Linked DNA regions of Mus musculus. Each later gene encodes a partner of the first gene's protein in a complex. Links are inferred from orthologs where the notes say so. Each region holds a gene or a part of one and is shown on either strand. Other genes may lie near its edges.

The links. The genes of interacting proteins can lie anywhere in the genome.
Region 2: the proteins of Ntsr1 (region 1) and Nts are in contact, whole or in part, in a crystal structure (PDB 4BUO), measured with the Rattus norvegicus proteins. The link is inferred for Mus musculus from reciprocal best matches to the Homo sapiens genes NTSR1 and NTS. Residues at the interface, in NP_001102437.1 of Rattus norvegicus: Ser53, Asp54, Leu55, Asp56, Asn58, Phe128, His132, His133, Tyr146, Met208, Val224, Cys225, Thr226, Pro227, Ile238, Arg327, Arg328, Phe331, Cys332, Tyr333, Ile334, Ser335, Asp336, Trp339, Phe344, Tyr347, His348, Tyr351; in NP_001095851.1 of Rattus norvegicus: Arg157, Arg158, Pro159, Tyr160, Ile161, Leu162.

What each region holds. Positions count from the first base shown.
Region 1 is NC_000068.7:180,498,960-180,502,706, forward strand, and holds the start of Ntsr1 (neurotensin receptor type 1), read left to right. Parts: upstream 1-1,016; 5' UTR 1,017-1,458; coding exon 1,459-2,172; intron 2,173-3,747. UniProt on the Homo sapiens protein: G-protein coupled receptor for the tridecapeptide neurotensin (NTS). Signaling is effected via G proteins that activate a phosphatidylinositol-calcium second messenger system.
Region 2 is NC_000076.6:102,487,791-102,491,537, forward strand, and holds the start of Nts (neurotensin/neuromedin N precursor), read right to left. Parts: upstream 2,629-3,747; 5' UTR 2,534-2,628; coding exon 2,464-2,533; exon of another isoform or gene 2,397-2,463; intron 203-2,396; coding exon 141-202; intron 1-140. UniProt on the Homo sapiens protein: Neurotensin may play an endocrine or paracrine role in the regulation of fat metabolism. It causes contraction of smooth muscle.

The DNA.
Region 1 (3,747 bases):
CTTCCTTCCCTCCTGCCCTGGGACTCTCCAGGATCCAGGGAGGAGTTTTCTGGAGGAAGAGGGCAGGAGAAAGGCTGAGAGAGCCAAGTGGGGAAATAGAGGCAAGGGCCCTGGGGCAAGCAAGATGGCAGCAAGCCTGGAAGCTCTGGCCAGGGCCCCTGCCAAAGAGGACAAGATGAAAAGACCTTTGTTCCCCGGGTCCCTGACTGGGGCAGGGTCCCCTGAGAAAAGCTGTGCTGGGCTGAGTGCACAGGCTTCAGGGTTTCCTGCAAGGACAGACGCAGCTCTGTGTCGCCCACAAACCTGCCCTTCCCCTCTGAAACGACAGGGCACCAGCTCTGAGAGTCACTGCTAGTGACCAAATCCAGGTGGCTACAGGAGGGCAGAAGGTCCCATCATACCCAAAGGCAGCTAAGACCGTGAGACTGCGTGGAGAGATGGGCTGCTCTAACTTCCTGCTCTATGCTTTCCTTCACCAGACCCTTCACAGGCTAGAGGGCCCCCCTGGGTGCTTCTGGCACCCCACAGGCACCCAGAAGGGAGGAGGTCGAGGCAGTTGTACAAAGGCCCTGACTTATCAGCAGGGTGCCGCCTCCTTCTCCGCCTTCCCCTCGAGTACACCCTCGTGTCACTAAGGGAGCTGAAGACGGCTACGGGGAGCTTTCTTTTTGGGGTGGGAGAAGTTGGGACCAACGATCGTGAAAGAAAGATCGTGCTGCCCAGGAGAGGTTGAAAGGAAAGATCCAATATCCCCTCATTCTCCCTCGCCTGGTAGGGAATTCTGCTTCCTGGGGTACTCATCCTAGCCCAGGTGGTCCCCGGGAGCGTGCAGGAGCAACCGTCAGCCAGTATCCGGGTGGGGAGGGGACAGTGGCTGTGGCGTCTCTGACTCTCCAACACCCACCCTCCTCCACTGCTGGGCGCGCCGCGCAGCCGCCAGCTCAGTGGAAGCGCGAGGAGCCCGGCAGGCTCCGGCGCAGCAGGAGGTGTGCGAAGTCGGGTGCGGGAAGAGCTCCAAGCAGAAGAGGGAGAACGAGGGTGAGCACGCTGGGCAGCCGTGCGTGCGCTCCTCTCTGCGCCACAGGCTCGCCCAACGAAGCACAAGCCAGCAGGGTCGCGGTCCTGAGGACATCGCTGCCACCCAGGAGTGCAGAGAACCAACCACAGAATCTGGAGGTCGGTAGCAGCCCCGATCTAGGCAGGCTCGGAGCCAGGGGGGGTGCCGAGGAAGAACCGGAAAGCAGATCCCAGACTCTGAAGGAGAAAGAAGAGTGGATCCCTGAGCCGGCACGTCTCGAGCCCCAGAGCTCCCAGGATCTCCTGGATAGCTGGCTTCGCCGCCGGACGGCACGCCCCCCTTAGCTTCCACACCCTCTCCTCTGAGCGCCTCCTCATCTGCCCCTGGAGGGACTTTCACCTTCAAAGGTGCAGGACAAAGCCGCATATCTGGCGCCCACCATGCACCTCAACAGCTCCGTGCAGCAGGGAGCCCCAAGTGAACCCGGTGCCCAGCCCTTCCCACATCCACAGTTCGGACTGGAGACGATGCTCCTGGCGCTCAGCTTGAGCAATGGTTCTGGCAATTCCTCAGAATCCATCCTGGAGCCCAACAGCAACCTGGACGTGAACACTGACATTTATTCCAAGGTGCTGGTGACCGCTGTATACCTGGCACTTTTTGTGGTGGGCACTGTGGGCAACTCGGTGACAGCCTTCACTCTAGCGCGGAAGAAGTCGCTGCAGAGCCTGCAGAGCACTGTGCATTACCACCTGGGTAGCCTGGCACTGTCTGACCTGCTCATCCTGCTGCTGGCCATGCCCGTGGAGCTGTACAACTTCATCTGGGTGCACCATCCCTGGGCCTTTGGGGATGCTGGCTGCCGTGGCTACTATTTCCTGCGAGATGCCTGCACCTATGCCACAGCCCTCAATGTAGCCAGCCTGAGTGTGGAGCGCTACTTGGCCATCTGCCATCCCTTCAAGGCCAAGACCCTCATGTCCCGCAGCCGCACCAAGAAATTCATCAGTGCCATATGGCTAGCCTCGGCGCTGCTGGCTGTACCCATGCTTTTCACCATGGGCCTGCAGAACCGCAGTGCCGATGGCCAGCACCCTGGTGGCCTGGTGTGCACACCCACGGTGGACACAGCCACCGTCAAGGTCGTCATCCAGGTAAGAACATCTAAAAGGGGACTCTCTGAGCTGTGGCACATTAGAGGGCACACCAGGGCAGCTGGTTTCCCGTCTGGCTGTTTCTTTCTATTGGAGCCACACAGAGACTTTTAGCAGTGTCACCTCAGAAGTCCCGGTGATTCAAGGCACCACCTGGGGAGAGACACAGCCGTGTTGCCTTGTGGAAAGAACTGTGCCTCAGAAGCACTTTATTCTTCTCCCTTGTCCCAAAGTAGGCCCCAGTGACATCATACTGAGCAACATATGGAGAGCGCTCAGCAAGGCTCCTCTTAGGAGGTTGGGAAGGGGCGGGGCATAGCCATCAACTCCTCCTCAACTTTTCACTCCCAGTTGCATGCCCCTCCCTGCTTCCTCCCCTCCTGTTGAAGGGGGCTTGAGCCCCAATCAGTGACTTCTGTTTACTGTAAGCCCGAGGATACTCTCAGGGAAGAAGGTTGCCATCAGCCATCAGGAATCCCTGACTTCCCAGGCTGAGTCCCCAAGGCCTTCTGGCTGCCTCTCCTGGACCCAAATCCAAGAGCTGGAGCTTTAATCTTGGAATTGTTCCCAGTTGAGTTACACTTTCCCTGTCTGTGAAGGGAGGTGATCAAAACATGGTCAGGAGGGCTCAGAGAGGGGTTTGCAGGCCCCCAGTCTGAAGCACTCCAGGCCCTTGCTGCTGTTAGTGCTGTTTCTGCAGAGCAATCTGAAGTGTCTTTGGTATGACGAGGTAAAGAAAAAAAGATTGGGATGATAGACTACAGTCCTCTGCGGTCTGAGCGTAGCACCAGGGGACCAGATGGGAGCCCTCCTCGGAAGTTACCAGCAGAGTAACTCAACATGGCAGAAAGCTCATCAGGAGCAGACCTTGAGGTGGGAAGGGGGCATCCACAGGGGCAGCCAGAGCAGAAGTGACATTTTAAGCCAGGCATGGTTGATTGTGCCAATACTCCAGAGGCTGAGGCAGGAGGATTACAAGTTTGAGGCAAGCTGGAAAGTAAGAACAACAACCAGGAAGGAGGCGGGGGGGGGGGGGGAGGGCAGGGGGAAGGAAGTTTAGAATAATTTCTTGGCTGTAGATCCTGGGCAACTGTAGAAATACAGGGAGGGTTCTCTTTCACCACAGGGTGGTCAAGAAAAGCAGCAAATGAGAGGATCTGGCTGAGGGCTCCTGCCATGTTAGAGGGTCCTCCAGGGAAGCTGGCTGTGCCATCTGTCTGTTTCTTTCTTCACCAAGCCATCTATAGACTCCCAGATCCTCACAGTGAGATTCTGTGGTCACATGGTATGTCCAGGCAACACCCAGACACCAGAAATGCTGGGTCAGTTGTAACCCACATTCCGATGCCAGGCAACTCAACAGTGCATCTCTGAGGTGGGCCATGGGGATAAGTGTCCCTGTGTGAGGTCCCCCCTGAGCTGCCACTCCTCAGGGGGACTGAGTCAGTGCCCAATGTTTCTAACAAGGTCCTCTGCATTTAGGCAAGTGCACATTCGTTGGGTGTTCCACGTGACAAGCAGTAGGATTCAAATGGCTCCTTGCTTCCTTTGAGGCAACAGGCTTCTTCCTCCAAG
Region 2 (3,747 bases), on another chromosome or scaffold:
AAGAAATGTCTCCCAAAGACCTTGACAGCTTTGAGGTAGGTAACTGTACCTGTTTTGATTGATATTAGAAACTAATCTGAAGTTTAGAATGAATATTCATACACCCTCCTACCTCGGGTTAAAGCAAAGAAATTAGTTACCTTGGATGTATGCATGTTTGTCAATAGATCTGCCTCCAGGGCTCTCACATCTTCTTCTGAATCTGAATAAAATTAAAACCACACGCTTACTATGTAATCACACTTCATATAATTATATTGCAACCACCATATCTCAAATTATTTTAAAGGATTCATCTTTGAAGCTTATTGTCTTCTGTATTTAATTTCTTCAAAGCAATATTCAAAAAGAAACATATCACAGCTTAATTTTATGCTGACAGCTTCTATAGTAGAATCACTTCTAAGAAAATAAGCGCATCTTAATTTGATAAGTATTTATGATTTTGAATTGCCTATTAACTGGATCTCAGTAAAACACTTAATTATATTGTACAAGGCAGATCTTATCCAAAAAAAAAAAACCTGCACTATGTTATTCTCACCGGCAATAGTTCACACGTGAAAATATGTATGTAACAAACAACATAATGAAATATGAATACAAGTGCTGCTTCTTATTTTGGGGCAAAGCCACAGGGAATTACTCACTGGTAATTTTAGAATAAAAAAGACACTGAGATTCACTTCACTACACATGTCATCTTGTGAAACACTCTTTGAAAGAATCGGTTTCTGTTTTACACAAGAGGTTTGCATCCCGTGCTTTCAGTGTTCCGTCAGCGAGTGCAGAAATGGCTTAAGCAAAGTCAGAGCTCATCAACACATGGTAAGTCCTGCTGCAAACAGATCCGTGATTCATCTCAGAACACATTTTCCCCAGATTCCATTTATGTGTATTGCATGAAGAAGTGAAATTTAGAAATACTAAGATGTTGTAGAGCATTTAATATCCATTAGCCTCTTGTGATAATAGAAGGCAGAGCTTAAAATTGCCTCACTCTTTACTCTGTGGTCATTAAAACACAGGATTCCACCTGATGTGAGCAACTGATAAAGTATACGTAAGAGGTGAGCTATTCCAGAGACACTTTTGCTCAGTTTGTTACACATACATGCTAGCTTGTTTGTTTTTCAGATGGAATGTTAAGATTAATCTTATTAATCACTGATAAAGATGTGTCCATGTCACAGAAATTGGTTTCAAGAGTTAATATATGGTTTTTAATAAATAAGCTATTTTTAGAATCTATAACTATTTTTCTGCAACTACTTGATAATATTATAATTATGAGAATACTGCATTGGCTCATAAAATATTTACAGGATCTTACACTAATAAAATCATCAATCCATTCTGATAGTTATCTTTGCACTCAGAAAATCTTAGTTTGAGCTAACACTGCCGAATCCTGGTTATTAAGTACAATAGTAACAAATATAAGTGAATTTACTTCACTCTCTAAGATTTTCCACTGCTATGTGTTTGTTCAATTACTTTCAAATTATTAATTAAAATATACTGCAATCGTCAAAATATTTCATATTACACTTAAATTTACTTTATTTTTAAGGAGAGGCAATACACACCTAATGAGAATACATCCCTTCTCCTTTACTGTTATATACTGAACACTCTAACGCTAAATTTATCATACATAGTAGTATACCAGTTTTATGGTTATAGGTTGTGCCAACTCAAATTACATTCAGAAAAGCAACAGCTATATTAACACCATGACTGCCACAATGAAATTCTATAAAGATGCACTTTCACAAAGGACTTGGGACACTTTTGCTGTATTAGAGGCACTCATCTTATTTATTGCTATTTGTTCCACATGTTCTAACACACCTACAGAGTTAAAAATATTTTGAGGAAAATCACAAAGGAAAGTGAGAGAAGCCACCACCTAAGACAATGAGAAGAGATGAGAATAAGATCTCGCGAAGGAGATCTTTACTTGTCTGCAGGCTGACAAGCACTGCCTCTATTCAAATTTCCACCCTTGTCTTATTACTCATATTGATTTTCCCTTTAGTGGTCATATTCCAAAGGAGAACGTGTTGCATTTCCTTGCACCATGAACTGCTTTACAGATTTAAAAAAATATATATTTCAGTTCTTATAATCAGAATGGGAGAGAAACATGATAATTACAGTTTTTCTTTCACTAAAAGAGAGAGAGAGAGGGAGACAGAGAGAGACAGAGATACTAAGATAGAGAGACACAGAGACAGAGAGGAGAGACAGAGAGAGAGGAGAGAAAAGAGAGACACCGAGAGACAGAGACAAAGGGGGAGGAGGGAGGGTGGGAGGGAGGAAGGGAGAGAGAGAGAGAGAAAGAGAGAGAGAGAGAGAGAGAGAGAGAGAGAGAGATTCCTGGATTCATTTACCTGAGTAGCAGCAGACTGCGAGAGAAATCCCTCACTTCAGGGAGTTGTGAGATGCAGTTGAGCTTACCTGAGCACAGACTCCAGGAGCTGAAAGCCAGGAGAGTCAGGCACACCAGCTGGAGATTCATTCCTCTCATCTTCTCTCAGCCTTCTGACAAGCAGGTCCACACACTCAGACACTGAAGGAGCTAGCTCTCTCTCGGTGCTTCCTCTTGCCTTCAGCTGGCTTTCAAAGTGAGTGAACTGTGAGGGATGCTGTGGCCAGTCCCTATATATATGTGAGCAGGAGGATGATGTCATGGCTACACAGGATGTGCTCTGCCTTCATCTCCATCCCCCCTCCTTTCCCTTTGTCCCTTATCTCATCCCCCACCCGTGAACCTTGATGGAAAGTGACGATCTTCCCTAATTGCAGCTGTTGCTCAGGATTTCTGACTCACAGAAAGAGTTGTTCAAAATCACTGCCATATACAGCATAGTGAGAGGTACTTCTGGTACCTTTTTCCCCCTAATTTTCTATCATGCCCCCATTCCAGATAGTTGTCATTTTCATTTTTTAAAATGCAAGGGTTTTTTTTTTTTTTTTTGGTAATTTCTCATATTTAAGCAAAAGTTCTAGGGAGAAATCACTGCTTGGAAGTCTTAAAGACTTGGGGTATATTTTCTAGTAACACAAACTTCTGAGAACAGGCTTCGTTGTCTCAAAACTCATAGAGAATTTACATAGCATGTACTAAAATAGGAAGGGAAACAGGCAAAAGAAAATTGGATATAATAATGTAATGTGACGACGAAACATACAAAGAAAAGGGGAAAGTCAGTATAAAAGGAAGAAAATTAGATCTAATGAGTAGTTTTATATCCTACCTACTTGAAAGTTTATTATATGTAACTGAGGGGAGACTAAGTTACATATGCTGCTCTTTCATTGGATATTTTAAATAATGTTTATAAAATAAAAACACAAGTAGGTTATGTGTTAGAAGGTAAACTATGAATTGCTGTATTAATACCTCCCCAATTAACTACATAATTAATTACATATTTGCTGCATTGTTTGTTTCGTTATTTGTTACTGATGCAATATCCCCCCTCCTTTATCTCATAACTCCCCTCTCTCTGTTTCTCCCCATTCTATCAACTCTCTCTTCAGTTTAATCCTTTTTTTTTTTTGTAGAAAGCAGACTGTACTTTTAGACAGAAAAATATTCTATATAAATGCCATCCACCACAGTGACAATTCTAAGGCGAAATCTTCAGGTAATTTGTGAGTTACAATGCTCTTCTTTCCTTCTCTCCATTCTTGGAAGAAAATTGCTCAAATGCCTTTTGAGCAATAGCTTTCCTCCTG